2 linked regions of the Canis lupus familiaris genome follow. The protein of the gene in region 1 purifies or fractionates together with the protein of each later gene. This does not show direct contact. Links are inferred from orthologs where the notes say so. Each region holds a gene or a part of one and is shown in the gene's direction. Other genes may lie near its edges.

Region 1 (3,804 bases):
TCCCCGCCCCTCCACCACCGTCCTAAGGACTCGGAGCGTGGGGGTCACCACCCAGTGTAAGGTGACAGAAGCCAGCAGGGAGGGGGTGCCCTTTGCAAGGTCATAAGAACTTTATGGCTTCAGACCAGCTTTTCAGGCCAGCAGGAGCCTGCCGTCTGTGGGGACAACTGGTGGGACTGCATCACCTTGAGGCCACTGCTCTTCCCTTAGGTTTGGGAACGATCTCCATATTTCAAACAAGCTCTTTGTTCTGGATGCTGGCGCTTCGGGCTCTAAGGACATGAAAGTACTTCGAAGTCACCTGCAAGACATTCGGAGCCAGATTGTCTCGGTGAGTGTGCTGGGAGGCTGCAGGCCCACCTTTGCTTAGACCATCTGGTCACCCTGGAGCTGGCCTCTTTGTGCTGTCCTCTTAGGTTAGGTTTGGTTCCCAGGGGTCGTGGTAGGAGGCAGCTGCACGGCCATGTTTGCTGTGGGAGGAGGAAAGAAGGATGAGAATACGGAGGTGGCCTGGAGATGAGGGGGGTTATGGGCATAGGGGCCACATTACAGTGTGTAGGATTCTGACAGCTTTAGTGGCCAGTCTGCAAGTAGCACGGCCTTTTAGAAATCACAGAACCTGGGACACCTGGGTGGCTCAGTGGTTGAGCGTCTGCCTTTGGCTCACGTCATGATGCCAGGGTCCTGGGGTCAAGTCCCACATCAGGCTCCCTACAGGGAGCCTACTTCTCCCTCTGCTTATGTCTCTGCCTCTCTCTGTGTCTCTCATGAATAAATAAATAAAATCTAAAAAACAAAACAAAAAAACAAATCGCAGAACCTACCCAGAAGTGACTTATTGTGAAATAGTGAGACAATGCAGAGGAGCACCTGCATGGCTCAGTCAGGTTAAGTGCCTTATCTTGGCTTCAGCTCAGATCTTGATCTCATGAGTCGTGAGATGTAGCCCTGAGTCAGGCTCCACACTCAGTCTGGAGTCTGCTTGAGGATCCTCTCCTTCTGCCCTGCCCCTCAGTTTTGTGCATGCACTTGCACTCTCTCTTTCTCTCAGATAATAAGTTTAAAAAAAAAAAAAAGAAAATGCAGAAAAATAGAAGAACCATCACCAGCAAAATTTATTGAAGGACATAAAATAATAGATGCACAAATGGATGACACTGGGCTCTTGGGCAGCAAGATCTTATTCAATGTTTGGTTTTCCCATATTGTGTAAGCTTGGTACAGTCCTAGCATGCATCTCCTGAGAGTGAGACAATTGGGTTGGGTATTTTACCTTAAAATTTCAGTGGAAGTATAAATAAAATCTATTATAAAGGCTGTGCAATTAATAAATCCAAAATCAGCAACTGAATAAGTGGAATAAATTAGTGTAGAAATAATCCAACATCTATAGAAACTTACTAGAAAACAGAGATTGAAATTTTGAGGAAAATATCTCATCATTGATCTGACACAACTGCTGTTAGTCTAGAATGAAACGAGATTGAATTCTACTTACTGTGAATTCCAAAAATAAATTCTAGGTTGATAAAAACTTTTAAATGTCAAAAAGAAAAAAGCCCACAATATCTTGAATGTCTTTTTAAAATAATGTGGTACTGCCTTGGAAAAATCTTTCAAGCAATATAGAGAACCCTAGAAGTCTTCAAAGATAGCATACCTATCTGACAACATAAAAGCTGGCATTTCTTTTCTGACAAATGAATTCCATGAACGAAGTTAAACGGTGAAATAGACTAGAAAAAATATTCTCTGTGCCTCTGACCCGTAAAAGGTTGCTAATCTATGATACTCAGTAAGTTCTCCCAAGCTGATGGGAAAGGGGTTAGCATTCCAAGGGCACAATGCTCCCTGGAAAGTTCCTGCTGCCCCGGCCTGGGTGTGAATGCAGAGCATGTGTCCCAGCCCTGGTGGTGGGTGGCCTCTCTCCAGGGAAAGCTTACTGCTTCCATGCTGGGAGGTGCTCCCGTGCACACCACCAGACTCCAGCCACGTGTGCTTTAGGAATCTTGAGGAAGACTCAGGGCCCTCCGGAAGCCTGGCCCTCACCCCAGTCAGTGGGGAGTCGTGTAGGGGCACTCAGAGGAACCCGGTCACAGAAACCAGGGGTGGTGATCGGGAACGTGGTCTGTGAAGGACCCCAGCACCTCCCCACCAGGGGGCAGTAGGGCCTCTGCCCTGGGCTCCGGGGAGTCCCTGGAGAGTTTTGAACCAGGGCCTGGTGACATTGTTTGCTTCACAACCCCCACCCTCAGCTCCTGAGGCCAAGCAGGTGGAACCCATCACACAGACTGCCTGTTTCCCTGGGAATTTTATTTTATGAATAGGGAGTGGGATTTAGCTGACTCTCTCCTCCTGGGGCACCTGGTGCTTCACTGCGATTCCTGCAGCCCCTGGATGCTGGGATGCTGCTTGACATAAAGGTAGAATTCGAGAAGGGACTGCCTGATAAATGATGCAGGGCAGTGTATGGCAGGTGTTTTTAATTAGGATGGTGTGCGGATTATAGGAGTCTGTCATACACATGATTTATTTAATCAAATTGAAAGATTAAAAACCTATTTCAAGGGGAAAAGAGGGGATGAGCAAAATGGGTGAAGGGAGTCTGGGAGATGCAACCTTCCAGTCACGGAATGAATAAATCACAGGAATAAAAGACACAGCATAGGGCATGGAGTCAGTCGTATTGTAATAGTGTGTGGTGAGGGAGGTACTACTCTGGTGTGCTGAGCCCAGCGCCACCTACGACTTGTCCAGTCCCTGTGTCACGCACCTGAAACTCATGTAACATTGCATATGGACTATAGTCAAATAAAAATTTTTAACAATTTGTTTAAATAATTTAAGAAAAAAATATATTTCAAGCCCATTACCAAGAATTGGTCTAATTTAAATTGTACTTTTCACAATGGTCTCACAGATACCTAATTTGCTGATAAAAACCCACTCCAGTATTGCTAATGATAGTTACTCTCTTTTCCTCTCCCTTTGCTCATAAAGTGATCATGTTCCAGCTAAAGGAGTCACTCCAGGGGAGGGACGGAGGAACGGAGAGAGCAGAGCATTAGGGGCTAAGGAGCACTGTAATGGAGTCTGTACAGTCCACAAGGATTGTTGTGAAGCCTCCCCACTCTTCTCCATTAGCAGCAGCAATGAAAGCATCTATACCATTTTATGCTTATAAATGGATTTTGCTTAGAGGCAACACTATAAAGAAAAGAACTGGCCCAGGGTACCCAAAACCTCACTAACTCGTCCCAAGTATTTCTTGCAACAGTGCAGAAAAGAGCGCCGTCCTTTCTACCTGGGCTTTTCCTGGGGAGTCCCTGTCGGCTGCATGTTGATGTGTCCTGCCCTGCACGTTCTAGGTTTGCCCCCCGATGACCCACCTGTGTGAGAAGATCATCTCCACGCTGCCTTCCTGGAGGAAGCTCAACGGGCCCAACCAGCTCATGTCTCTGCAGCAGTTTGTGTACGATGTGCAAGACCAGCTGAACCCCCTGGCTAGAGAGGGAGACCTCCGGCGCATAGCCCAGCAGCTTCACAGTGCTGGCGAGGTAGGGACTGGGGCCTGGCTGGGATAGTGGCGTTGGGGATGTTTTTCTGTCCCCAATCCGAAGGTGCTTTGGGGCTAGAGAGGCAGAGTGGAAATAGCCCCAGGACCCATAATCTATCCAGACACGTGGCTGTCACACAGAAGCCCAGGTGATCTTCTGACCTGCAGTCTCTGCTCCCCCCACACACACCCTGAGAGCTGTCCTGTGGTTTTGTTTGGATTTGTTTGTTTTACATCTTGTATGAGTT
Region 2 (4,592 bases), on another chromosome or scaffold:
TTAGTAACCACTAGAAAAACTGTAGCACTTTATTACTTCTTCTGTCCTGCCCAGCATAGAGCAAGTACACACCAGTTCCGCAAAGTTGTGCTGTGCAAAGGGTTCAAAGGGACAAGATGGCAGGATCATCCAGCCGTGGGCACTTCAGGGAAACCCCGGCCTCGGAGCCTGCTGCTGTGGACACCAGGCCGGGACTTCCCCAAACCGGAAGAAGACAAGGGAGCTGGGGAACTGGGGCCTTTGGCTATAATCTGGGCCAGGTGTGGGTGTTTCCTCCCATGGGATCAGGTCCTGTGTCATGCCTGGTATTTGAGGCCCTGCAAAGTCTAAGCATCTCAGTTATCCCCTCATGACCTCAGTCTCCACGAGGTGAGGCGGGCTATGGGCTATTCTCTGTCGGTGCTAATGTCCTGCGTCAACACCTTTCCAGCGGTGCCTCCCCCATCACAGCCTGGGGAACCTCTCCCTCTGCCTCTGAGCCCTCCCTGTGGCTTTATTCTCCAAACTTCACTTTTTTTTTTTCCTAAGATGTTATGTATTTATTTGTGAGAGACACAGAGAGAGAGGCAGAGACATAGGCAGAGGAGAGGTGGGCCCCCTGAGGGAGCCTGATGTGGGACTCCATCTCACGACCCCAGGATCATGACCTGAGCCAAAGGCCGATGCTCAACCACTGAGCCACCCAGGTGCCCTCCAAACTTCACCATTTTACAGAAGGGGAAGCAGAGGGTCCATGACTTGAGGTGCCCGGTAAAGTCCAGCCCCAAACCCTGGTCTAGGTGATTCCAGCAGGTTCGAGTCCCACACTGCCAAGCCCCCAGCCTAACCCGGCGTACACAGGATGGGCCTAAGGTGATTACTGCCCTGCGGGCCCAGAGGCCCCACACCCGCACCTCAAGCTTTGGATGGTGGCAAGAAGGAACGCCAGCTTTCCTTGTACCCCCGACTCTCACCCGAGACAGGGCGGGGAGGACAGAGAGAAGTGAGGGGCCCTCCCCGCCGGCTTCTGCTTTCTGGCCTGGCTGCGGCGGGCGCCGCCCGAGTCAGCTGGCTGGTGGGCGGGAGCCTGAGAGGAGGGGGCACCAGGGGCAGGGCCGAGGCGTGGAGAGTGGGGGGGCGGACCCCGCCCCGGGCTAGCGGGAGGCGGCCCGGCTGCGCAGTTCCGACCCCCCGGGGCAGCGGGGGGGGGGGGGGGAGCGACGTGCCCGGGCTCGGAACCGGGCTTGGGGGAGCTGCATGACCCTTGGCCGCCCCCCAGAGCGGTCCGCGGCCGCGTGGAGACCCTCGCGTCTCTCTGCCTCCCTGCGTCTCTCGGTCTCTGAAGCCGCCACCTAGTCTCGGCTCCCGGTGCTGTGACCCCAGCCTCACATGACCGGGCGGCCCCGGCGGCCCGGAAGGGTCAAGGTCGGCCCCGCGGCCCGGCAGGTGGGGGGAGGGAAGCGCCCCCACGGCCGCGTGACTGCGGGCCCGGCAGCCGGCGCGAGCGGGGATGGGGGTCAGGTGGGCGTGGGCCCTAGGCGGGCCGGGGGACCCCAGAGTCGCCCGCCGCAGCCCCAGGGGCGTGGGCACCGGGAGGCGGGTCCGGCCTGGGGGCTGGGCCACCGCCGGGTTAAAGGCGGCTCCCGCCCGGGCCGCCGCTCCTCCCGCCTCCGCGTCCTCGCCCCGCGGTGATGGCTCTGTGGTCGCTCCTGCCGTGCCCGCCGCCGCCGCTGCTGCTGCTGCTGCTGCTGCTGCTGGGGGTCCCCGCGGCGGCACGGGGGTCCCCGCGGAAAGTCCTCTCCGAGGGGGCGGCCGCCTGCAAGGTAGGGACGGCCTCGCGGCGGGAGGGCCAGCGGGGACCGGCGCGCCCGGGCTGCGGGCTGCGGGCTGCGGGCTGCGGGCTGCGGGCTGCGGGCTGCGGGCGGGACGCTGCTCAGGCTCCCCGGACTCTGCCGGAAAGCCTGGGGTTCGGGGCCCGGGGAGGGGGGCGCTGCCCCGGTCGGTTCCGAGTCCCCCCCGCGCTGCCGGCGCTCGGAGTGCTTTCACTTCCCCATCCCGCGTCTGTCCCCGACCGCGGCCCGGGGGTGCACGGAGCTCCTGCTGTGTACCCCTGGGCGGCGGAGGGAAGCCCAGAGGAGTCGGCGCGTGGCACCCACACTCCAGGTGCTGCTTACGGGGCGCCCTTCGGCGGGGGGAGAGCTCGCGCATTTCTGGTGCGGAGCAAGCGGATGTCTGGGAGCCGAGCGCCTGCTCCCCGCTGCACAGACCCTGGCGGGCCTGCCGCCGGCCGCTGAAACCGGAAGTCAGCACGTATTAGGCGCCGCCTCAGCAGGAGAGCCTGGGAGGGGTTCACCTGCGCCCCCTGAGAGGCAGATTAGTAACGGGTTAGCCCAAGTGTAGGGCCTTGCGCAGCCCGGGGCCAAGGCTCTGGGGGTGAAGTGGCAACAGATGAGCATACATTAGTCTCCTGGGGTATACACCCCTGTCAGAGAAGGCAGGATTGACAGCAGCGACCAGAAGTGTCCATGCATTGAGTCCTTACTGCATACACTTCCCCTGGGCCAAGGGTTTCACCTCAACTGAGGGAAAGCAAGAGCTGTTCATAAATTAAGTGCCTACTGTTTGCAAGTCTTTGTCACATCCGTTTTTGCAGAAAAACTGAGATTTAGGAAGATTTAGGGATGCAGTGAAGCCCTGGAGTCAAGATTCCACCTGACAATGTCTGAAAGGACTGCAATATGGAGCACCTACTGTTTGTAGCTGCAAGAGAACCAAACAGGGCTATCCTCCCTACAAACCCCTCCCTTCCTCCCTCCCGCACAGGTTGGGGACCTATGCCTGCAGGAGCCCCTCAGGAAGTCAGAAGCACCACTTGTCAATGTGAGCGTCTACTACGAGGCACTGTGTCCCGGGTGCCGGGCCTTCCTGGTCCGAGAACTCTTCCCGACCTGGCTGATGGTCCTGGAGATCCTCAATGTCACGCTGGTGCCCTATGGAAATGCCCATGTATGTTGGCACTGGGGAACCAAGGCACTAAGCCAGGGAAGGGGCACCTGGTGGGCCAGCCAGCACTCACCTACCTGCTTTGCAGGAACAAAATGTCAGCGGCAGGTGGGAGTTCACATGTCAGCACGGTGAGCAGGAATGCAAGCTTAACAAGGTGGAGGTGAGCAGACCCCTGAGTATTCGAGTGGTGGGGGCACAGAGGCTGGGGAGATGCCCATTGTAAGGAAGGCAAAAGCAAGGCTCAGAAGGGATTGGAACCAGTTCCATCCTCTGCCTGTCTGCCTCTTTAATCACATCTTCATTCACCGCTTCATTAGTGAACACCTGTGTTACTCCCAGAGTGGTCCAGGGGTGCTCTGGGCCCACTTCAATCCCTCACCTCTCCACCCCCTATCCCACAGGCCTGCCTGTGGGACAAGCTAGATAAAAATTTGGCCATCCTGATCATTGTCTGCATAGAGGAAATGGATGACATGGAGGAAAATCTGAAACCGGTGAGCAACACCCCTCACTTGGCCCCGGGCTGGGAGACCCTGGTCTTCCCTGTCTCCAAACAGACCCAAGTTCAAGTCTTGGCCTGACTACCACTCTCTGTGTAGCCCCAGGAAAACAGCCTTCCCTCTGGAAGCCTCAAATCTCTAAAACAAGGGAACAAATATCTTTTGGGGGCATGGGTAGATCAAGGAGGGCTTCCTGGAGGAGGTGCCTCTGAACTGAGCTTGGATGAACAAAAATGTGCAGAGACACAGATGATGATCCTCATCTCGAGTATGGGGATGACAGGACAGGCCCGCATACTTCTCTGGAGGATTATGAAAAACAACTCCCAATGGAGTGACTCATTGATGCCAATAAGTTTATTCACTCATCAAACATCTGGACCACCCAAAAGGCTCACCCTGGGACACCCCCAGCTCTGCAGAGTCATAGTGGGGCCAGAGGAGTGCAGAGGAGGGAGCACTCAGAAGATTCTGGGGAAGTGGAAGGGTGTTCCTGGTGGGGGGGAACAGCACAAACAGAAGCCCTGAGAAAAATGAGATACTGCAGTGGTCCGGGGCTGCGGGTCTGGTCTTATGAGAGGGAGGAGCAGCCTGAGCCCCTGCCTTGGGGGCCTCCACTCAGGTAAGTGTTAAGTACGTGCTGTTTGTGGACATTGTTGCATTGCTGTGGACCCAAATGTCTCCTGTGGCCAGTGAGGAACAAGCTTGGCTTGGGGGGACTGGAGGAGGGACCGTTGGGGAGATAACTCGGAGGAAGCTGAGGCAATGCTCCTACTCACCAGCAACCCTTGTCCACCCTCAGTGCATGGAGATCTATGCCCCAACAATGTCCCCAGACACCATCATGGAGTGTGCAGTGGGGGACCGTGGCATGCAGCTCTTGCACATTAATGCCCAGCTTACAGATGCTCTGCAGCCGCCCCACGAATATGTGCCCTGGGTCGTCGTCAATGGGGTAAGAGCTCTTGTAGCCTTCAGTGTGCCACCAGGCCGGGACCGGGATGATGGATGTGCCTTCTGGTCTGGGAGGCAGGGGTCAGACTTGCAGCCATTTGCAGCCCTTGATGGGCCGGGCATGGGTTGGTTGGGGCAAGGGACTGTATGACT

What was found.
Region 2: the proteins of DAPK1 (region 1) and IFI30 purify together in Homo sapiens (affinity purification with mass spectrometry; 3 studies listed by BioGRID and IntAct, counting the BioPlex papers as one, with this or other methods). This does not show direct contact. The link is inferred for Canis lupus familiaris from reciprocal best matches to the Homo sapiens genes DAPK1 and IFI30.

Annotation. Positions count from the first base shown.
Region 1 is NC_049222.1:72,870,414-72,874,217, reverse strand, and holds part of DAPK1 (death-associated protein kinase 1), read left to right. Parts: intron 1-210; coding exon 211-331; intron 332-3,368; coding exon 3,369-3,557; intron 3,558-3,804. UniProt on the Homo sapiens protein: Calcium/calmodulin-dependent serine/threonine kinase involved in multiple cellular signaling pathways that trigger cell survival, apoptosis, and autophagy.
Region 2 is NC_049241.1:45,228,811-45,233,402, reverse strand, and holds the start of IFI30 (gamma-interferon-inducible lysosomal thiol reductase), read left to right. Parts: upstream 1-1,628; 5' UTR 1,629-1,670; coding exon 1,671-1,802; intron 1,803-2,802; coding exon 2,803-2,985; intron 2,986-3,070; coding exon 3,071-3,145; intron 3,146-3,386; coding exon 3,387-3,479; intron 3,480-4,287; coding exon 4,288-4,440; intron 4,441-4,592. UniProt on the Homo sapiens protein: Lysosomal thiol reductase that can reduce protein disulfide bonds. May facilitate the complete unfolding of proteins destined for lysosomal degradation. Plays an important role in antigen processing.